Linked DNA regions of Neurospora crassa OR74A. The protein of the gene in region 1 interacts with the protein of each later gene in a biochemical or structural test. Links are inferred from orthologs where the notes say so. Each region holds a gene or a part of one and is shown on either strand. Other genes may lie near its edges. The genes, in order: NCU04238 and hH3v.

Evidence for each region.
Region 2: the proteins of NCU04238 (region 1) and hH3v form a complex in vitro, tested with the Schizosaccharomyces pombe proteins (2 studies listed by BioGRID, with this or other methods). The link is inferred for Neurospora crassa OR74A from reciprocal best matches to the Schizosaccharomyces pombe genes sim3 and cnp1.

What each region holds. Positions count from the first base shown.
Region 1 is NC_026505.1:5,315,464-5,319,202, forward strand, and holds NCU04238 (histone H1-binding protein), read left to right. Parts: upstream 1-986; 5' UTR 987-1,119; coding exon 1,120-1,940; intron 1,941-2,024; coding exon 2,025-2,619; 3' UTR 2,620-2,982; downstream 2,983-3,739. Other genes in the region: NCU04237 (phosphopantothenoylcysteine decarboxylase), read right to left, coding at 1-45. UniProt on the Schizosaccharomyces pombe protein: Histone H3 and H3-like CENP-A-specific chaperone. Promotes delivery and incorporation of CENP-A in centromeric chromatin, probably by escorting nascent CENP-A to CENP-A chromatin assembly factors.
Region 2 is NC_026503.1:2,782,371-2,786,286, reverse strand, and holds hH3v (histone H3), read left to right. Parts: upstream 1-1,581; 5' UTR 1,582-2,090; coding exon 2,091-2,211; intron 2,212-2,356; coding exon 2,357-2,481; intron 2,482-2,564; coding exon 2,565-2,786; 3' UTR 2,787-3,273; downstream 3,274-3,916. Other genes in the region: NCU00146 (ER-associated proteolytic system protein Der1), read right to left, coding at 1-76, 134-602, 679-870. UniProt on the Schizosaccharomyces pombe protein: Histone H3-like nucleosomal protein that is specifically found in centromeric nucleosomes. Replaces conventional H3 in the nucleosome core of centromeric chromatin that serves as an assembly site for the inner kinetochore.

The DNA.
Region 1 (3,739 bases):
GGCCAAGAACTGGCGATCATGAATGTTGTCAATTGCTTGAAGCATCTTGGCAATCTGTAAGATCCTTGGTTGTGAGATATTCTGAATGTGTGTTGATTGGGCTGTCAAGACGGAGTGTTCTGTTCACTTGATATTAGAACAGGTGACCTACAACCACGGCAGCGGCGCCTGAAGGGCAAAGGTGAAATTATGGGATACTGATTTATAATCCTCAATCTTCATGCTGACTTGTCAAAGACATTGGCCAGATGCAGAGAACGAGGGCCACTGCATAGGATTACGACACTCACCAGAAACCACCAAAACCAGATATTATGGCCGGATTAATGGGACGGACCAACTCTCAAGATTGATGAATCGTGAAAACAGACTGGAACGCGCTAGCCAAAACGTTTGAAACCCGCCTAACGGCTTGAGATTGAGAGATGCTTTTGGCGCTTGGGAGAAAATTTGAAGTGACCAGGCTGAACAAGGCTGGAGAAGGGAGGAAATGAGTTGAGTTGAGGGGTCCGAGGGGTAGAGGTATCGAAGAAGGGAAGCAAGAGCGGGAGGACAAGAGTGCCTGCCAAAAGGTCCTACGTCATGACCCTAACCCTGGCTTCCTGTCCAACTTGAAAGACTGACCTTGGAGCAGAGAGAGCTTCCAGAACCAAAATCAGTTTTGGCAATGGAATCAGATGTTAGGGTCAATGGATCAGCTAATTTTGGTAATGACTCAGAGATTTCATGAACAGCTTCAGAGAGCATAATGAAAGGGAAGCTCTCGCCATCGATCACGATTGTCGTCTGCTGTTGGTCTGCCGTTTGCTCCCCCGCCCCACATTTCCAGTAAGTCAAGGGTTGAAAAGTGCTGAAAACAGCCAATGAACAGCGGCATCCATTCACCTTATAGCACAATTAGCCAATCAGACGCGTCTTTGTGGGTGGACTGATCTCCATCGCGTCACAGCTTCTAAACTTCTGTGAAGCTCTCTGTAACTCTGTGACTCTTGTAACTCTTGCTTTGGATCTTCCTTCCAACTTCCATTTCACCAAATCGAGATTCCCAATCTCAGGATCGAGACATTGTCACACACACCAAACATCAATTATCCCAAACACACAAACCAATTCATCCCAATGTCAACACCCACCCCCGCCGCAAGCGGCACCGCGACCCCGATCGTCGAGCTAAACGCCGAGGAAGCTGCGCTATCCCTCAAGGTCTCCCTCGCCGATCTGTCCGCCCACGCCGCCGCCCAGTACGCGCAAAAGAACTACGATGAGGCCGCTGAGCTGTACGCACAAGCCGCCGAGATGCAGGCCGAGATGAACGGCGAGATGAACCCCGACAACGCCGAGATCCTCTTCCTCTACGGCCGCGCCCTGTTCAAGGTCGGCCAGAGCAAGAGCGACGTTCTTGGTGGCCGCGCGCCCGAGCCCAAACCCGAGAAGAAGGCGGCCAAGTCCAAGAAGCAAAAGAAGGCCGCCACAGAAGAGAAAGAAGCGGGTTCATCATCCTTGATCAAGGACGCGGTAGAGCAGGCGACTAAGGGCGCGCAAGCTTCCATCGCCGAGGCGGCCAGGGAGGTTGCCCACAAGGATGAGCCCAATCCGGAGAAGAAGCCCCTCTTCCACTTTGAGGGCGACGAGAACTTTGACGACTCGGATAAGGAGGAGGAGGACGACGACGAAGATGCCGAGGAGGGCGAGGAAGAAGACGAAGACGACGATGATCTCGCCGTGGCGTTCCAGGTCCTCGACCTTGCGCGTGTCCTCTTTGAGAAGAAGCTCGCGACACTAGAAGCCGAGCAAAAGACCCAAGAAGAAGGCAAGGGCAAGGAGAAGGAAAGCGACGAGGCTGCCACCACTACTGAGGCGTCGCCTCTGATCAAGCACATCAAGGAGCGCTTAGGCGATCTGCATGACCTCTTGGCCGAGATCTCGCTCGAGAACGAGAGGTAAGCATTTTGTCTCCCTCCTTGTCACCTCAAAACATAACCCAGGTACTAACCAACAATCCCTTTTCCCCCCTCCTCCCACAGATACCCAGCAGCCATAACCGATTCCCGCGCCTCCCTCAAATACAAACAACAGCTCTACACCCAAGACTCTGAAATCATTGCCGAAGCACACTTCAAGCTCTCCCTCGCTCTCGAATTCGCCTCCGTCACCAAGTCTTCCGACGACGACTCCGCCGTCCCCTCAGAAAAAGCCAGCGCGGGTGGTGCAGGCGTGGTAGACCAAGCCCTCCGCGACGAAGCCGCCGCCGAGCTCGAAGCCGCCATCGCCTCCACCAAGCTCAAGCTGCAGAACAAAGAAGTAGAGCTGGCCAGCACGCACAACCCCGAGGACAACGACGCGACGCGCCGGCAGATTGCCGACGTGAAGGAGGTGATTTCGGATATGGAGCAGAGGCTGGTGGATCTGAGGAAGCCGCCTATTGATATCAATGAGGCGTTGGGAATCGCTGCGCCTGTCTCTGGAACTAAGGGCGAGAGTTCGTTGAAGGTCGCTGAGGAGGTCAAGGAGAAGGCGAATGACTTGACGGGGTTGGTCAAGAAGAAGAGAAAGGCTGAGAGTGAGGCTGCGCCGGCCGAGGAGGGTGCTCCAGAGGCCAAGAAGGTGAAGGAAGAGTGAATGAGTCAAGATGGGTCAGAGGGTGTTGTTCTAGGTACGAGTAATTGTATGGCCATGGAATTGCATGGACTTTGGGAAAATTGGGCAAATGGAGTTCATGTAGGAGTTCAGTCACTCAGTCAGGATCAGGCTTGTAATGTTCACTTCTTTCTTCTCTTTTCAAACGCGCGCGCTTCTTGAAGCATCAAATAATCATACTCATCCTCCGTCATCTCACTCTCCCTCCGCCGGTGAATAACAGGCGAACCGCTATGGCACTCGGAAAACGCTCTGCCTATTTTTTCTGGGATCGACAACGTCGATATCGAACACTTTTCTCCAAACTAAACCATGTGTCAGAAGACAACAGTTCTTGTGGCGCGCCCCCAAGATACAAGGTATCACCAACACCTATTCCCCACCAGGACAAAGGGGAGTTACATGTGCGTAATTTAGGGTATCATGGACCATTTGTTGACCAAAGCCTTGTATGTAAGTGGATTCCACTTGCGCAGTTCACGAAGTACATCCGCCACAGGGTACATCATATTGTTAGACAATGGACCTGGAAATCAAACAAGAAACCATCATCAACGTGGCACATGTCAATAAATGTCCAGCTTGATAAAGACAGAAAGAAAGGGAGGATGAGAATGAACTTTTCGAAAGAATTTACTTTTGCCGTCCGTACCTAGGTAGCTATGCATTCTGTTTGGGGTACTATCTTCTCTAGCTAGCTAGCTAACTAGGAAACCGAAACAAATCCCTGATCTGATGTACCTAGTTTGTGCCTACCAGTGAGTGTCTCGTAGGTAGGTAGATAGATAGACATTTCTCGCATGATTGAAGGTACGTAGGTATAATCGAGAAGTTGGTTTAAAGACACATTTTTAAACACAAACGTGGCCTAGCCAGAAGGCAGAATATAAATTAACCCACCTTCAAAACTGAGGATAGCTTCATCAACGTCAGAACCTCCCAAAAGGCACACATGATAAACGTGGGTTGTTTTTTTGTATTAGTTTCTTAGACTGTACGATGGTAATACGAAAAAAGACAAGTAAACATTCTTGTAGTATTGTACAACTGGAATTTCATGACGTAAAAAAAAAAGCCTGTGAATGGGAAAGACTAAAAAAAA
Region 2 (3,916 bases), on another chromosome or scaffold:
GGCGCAACTTCGGGAGCGCCAGCGACTGCAATCTCGTTGTTGATACCATCCGTGGTCTCCTCGCGTGGCCGGCCCTCTTTGAGATCGTTGTTAGCATATTGTACATCGGAGCAGCAAAAGGAAGACTACATACCAAAGATACGACGCCACCACATGGGCGGGTCAAGGGGTCTTGAGCCGCCGTGAAGAGGAGGATACACGTCGGTGAAAAAGTACCAGATATGACCAATGACCATGCCCATCAACTCATCCTTGGGAATTGTGCCATGAAGGGTCAAGCTAAAAGCCATGAGTACCCACGGCAAGTAGGGTGCGCTAAACACCAGTAACCCAAGGAAGCTTAACCGGGTATCTGGGTTACGGCGAGACCATATGTAAACCAGCGTCGACGAAAGCGGATGGCCGAGAAATGGCATGGAAACGAGCGGCGACAGGATCAGGAGGAACACCATGGCGTACAGTAACAGCCATGAGAAGTGTGCTGGTGATCGGCCTGCCGATTCTTCGAGTAATCGCGAGTAGCGTTGCAGGAAGTAGACGTGAAAGAGAAGGTCGAGGGAGAAGGGCCCGAAGTAGAGGAAGGTGGTGAGTAGTCGCCAGTACTGAGCAGGAACACCAACAGCAGCCATGTCAGCGAACTATTTCTCTCGTAGAAATATGAACATGTACACGACGAACCTGTGACTTAACAAATACGGCGCGGTAGCTATAGAAGAGCTGGAAGGGAGTTATAAGCTCGCACTGGACCAAGCCACTCATGAGCATGGTTGCCGTCGTCCACCACCTTGTACAGATGGGCATCTCCCAGAACCACGTCTCGAGCGGGAAGCGGCCGGCATCGCCGCCACCACCACCGATCATCTGGTCCATGGTGAAATGTTCGTAGAGCAAACGACTGCGCAGTTGGTGTTGATTCGTTATCGGATGCTTGGCGGGTCCTGTCTGCCGGGCGATAGCGGCGTCGCTAACACGGATGGTATGAATTGGGTACCGTCTCCAATCTGGTGCAGGTTCAACGGCGACGATGCGTGGATTCGGATTGGAACGAGGAGCAATCTCTTGACGGAATACGTTTGACCTAGCTATGTGATAACGCCTACCCCGAGGGAAAAGAGCGTGGGAGGTTACGTTGATGAATGACTAGATGCCGCGGTGTTGATGATGTCGTGTCCTCTACAAGGTTTCCAATAGGTGCACAGTTTACAAGCTGGTTAGGTAGGTAGAGGTAGTAAGTAGTCTCAAGACGGGAAGCAAGGAAGACGGGGCCACGGGCTGGCGGGTTCGCTAGCGGAACTAGTGTATGGGGAAAGGCGGCTGCAGCTGCAAGTGTGGCAGTGGAAAGCGCTGAGGTGCCGTGGCCACTGGAAGCGCTGTGCGTCGAACTTTGACAGGGGCGAACGACATGCCCAGATATGATACTATCCGTAGTGCCTACCTATGCATTTATGCATACCTAGGTAGGAATGTAGTGTAAATGTATGGACGTTGACAAAGAACTGCTTGGGCCGGACCCCACATTTCCCCGCTGCCAGTGATCCAAACCCCGGGCTGCGTGCCCCTGCCCGCTGAGGTACCTCTAGCGGACTCCCATTCCTCGAGCTCCATTATGGAACCCCACAAAATTCACTGTGACCGAGCGGCGCGCCCAGTCGCGATCAAAAAGAAGCGTAGACCTACGCGTCAAGGTTCCCCATTCCAGCGAGTCGACGTTAGACCCAACCACTCCCCTTGTGTACAGACACCGTGGATAATAATTGTGTGAGTTGGCATTGCCGGCTTTGTTTAGTGGGCAACCTCGGATCTTCTTTGTCCTCTTTCTTGCCTTTCGATCCCGACAGCGACTTTGCTCATCCTTGCTGCCTTGCACCGCCGGCGCATCCACTCTAGAGCTCCCGACGTAAACAACAACACCGACCCAGCTCTCCGGTCTTTGGTCAATTGCGATCACCTAGCTTCAGCTTCCGCTACCTCCACTTCGCTACATTCAAAAACGACTTATCGATAAACAACGGCCTCAAGCTTCGCCATCCGAGTGCGTCACTAGCGAACCAACCACCTATCAATACATTCACCATCATCGATAAACAACAATGCCACCAAAGAAGGGAGGAGTAACAAAGTCAAAGGCGGTGTCTAAGAAAGCCGCGGCGGTGCCGACGCCCAAGGCCACTCCCCCGGGAAGAAGGAAGTCGCGCGCCAGCAGTGTTCAGCGTATGTCGTACCACTCCATCCACCTGGTCCCATCTACGGCGGTGCTTTCAGCGCAACATACCTAAGGCGCGCACGCGCGGAGAGTATCGATCCATTGGATACGACCCCAGTTAGGATCGCATGCAGCTAACATTGACAAATTCAGCCGGCGACCCCGTCCCCCAGGGCAAGAAGAGGCGTTACAGACCCGGCACGCTTGCGCTCAAGGAGATCCGCAACTACCAAAGGACGACAGATCTCTTGGTTGCCAAGCTTCCCTTTGCGCGATTGGTACGTATTGTTGTTTATGCATAGTACGCTTCTTCAAAAAAAAAAAACCTGATTCCGTGACTTACCCTTTCTTGTAACCGTAGGTCCGCGAAATAGCCATGCAATTCCGCCCCATGGACGAGGAAATGCGTTGGCAGTCGCAAGCCATCCTGGCCCTGCAAGAGGCCGCCGAGGCCTTTCTCGTCCACCTGTTCGAGGACACCAACCTGTGCGCCATCCACGCCAAGCGCGTCACCATCATGCAGAAGGACATCCAGCTGGCTCGCCGGATACGCGGCGTGTGGGGAGGTGCTGGGTGGGTATGAGTGTGATTAGCGCATGGCGGTGCGGCTGATGCAGCAACAGCAGCGGTAGCGGAAGCGGAAGCGCAGTCGAAAGTTGTTGCTACTACTACTACTACTTCTACTACTTATTACTACTGTAATGGACCATAAGGTTTAGCCTGGCATGGTCTGGCTATGTCAATTTGGTCCAAGTCAGTCAGATATCCTATCTCGAGCAGCGAGAAGGGAACGGGAGGTGTTAGGGAAGTGGAAGGGATGAAATTGCCAGGGTATGGGTATTCCCAAAAGTTGAAGGCGCGCGACGTTGGATCGTGTCTTCTTGCTCGGTTGGGTTGTAGGAAGGGAGAGGACACGGGATTGTGATATGTCCCGTGACTCCGCCTACAGAAAATCCCATCGCCAGTACGACGGCAGAAAGAACGATGAACGGACGGCAGCCAAGAATCTGCGCGCACTTGGATGACTTTAGCTGGCTCAAACAGCTTTAGCGTGGGGGCCAAAGAGAGAGGGGGGGGGGGGGGGGGGGGGAGGGGGTCAAACGCATAATCTGATTGGAAAGAAGGGCCATGAGTGCGAAAGGGAAATCTGGCCACTCTCTGGCATGCCAGGTCGGAGAAGTCTCGATGTGTTTTTTCGGGACGGTCAATGGTGGTCAAAACGCGACAATTCCAGTCAGTGGTTGGCGGAAAATGGCGCGGCTCGGCTCGGCATTGATCTCAAGTATGTGTATGGGTGTGCTGGTTTGATCTTTGGGTCGGCAGGCAGGCGGCGGCGGCGTTCAATGGCATCCCGTGGGGAAGATTATCATTTGATTGATTTTGCGCTCAAGGAAAAGCGGCGTTAAATATTGTGTTTTCAGAGACAAGAATGAGTATATATACGTTTTCGCATTATTGTCGAGTCTATTGGGACATGCGCCTGAACTAATATGGATCCGGAATTCGTCTCTTGGGAAAAGAGAATAAAGATAAAATATCATAAAGATAAAATATCATAAAGATAAAATATCATAAAGATAAAAGGAAAAAAAAAAAGGATATGGATTGCCCATACTAAGCACAGATTGGGTAGACAGACAGCGTCCTCTGTACACCAACGGTCATACACGAAGCTTCTGTGAATACCATCGAAAAGGGAAAAGGGAAAAGGAA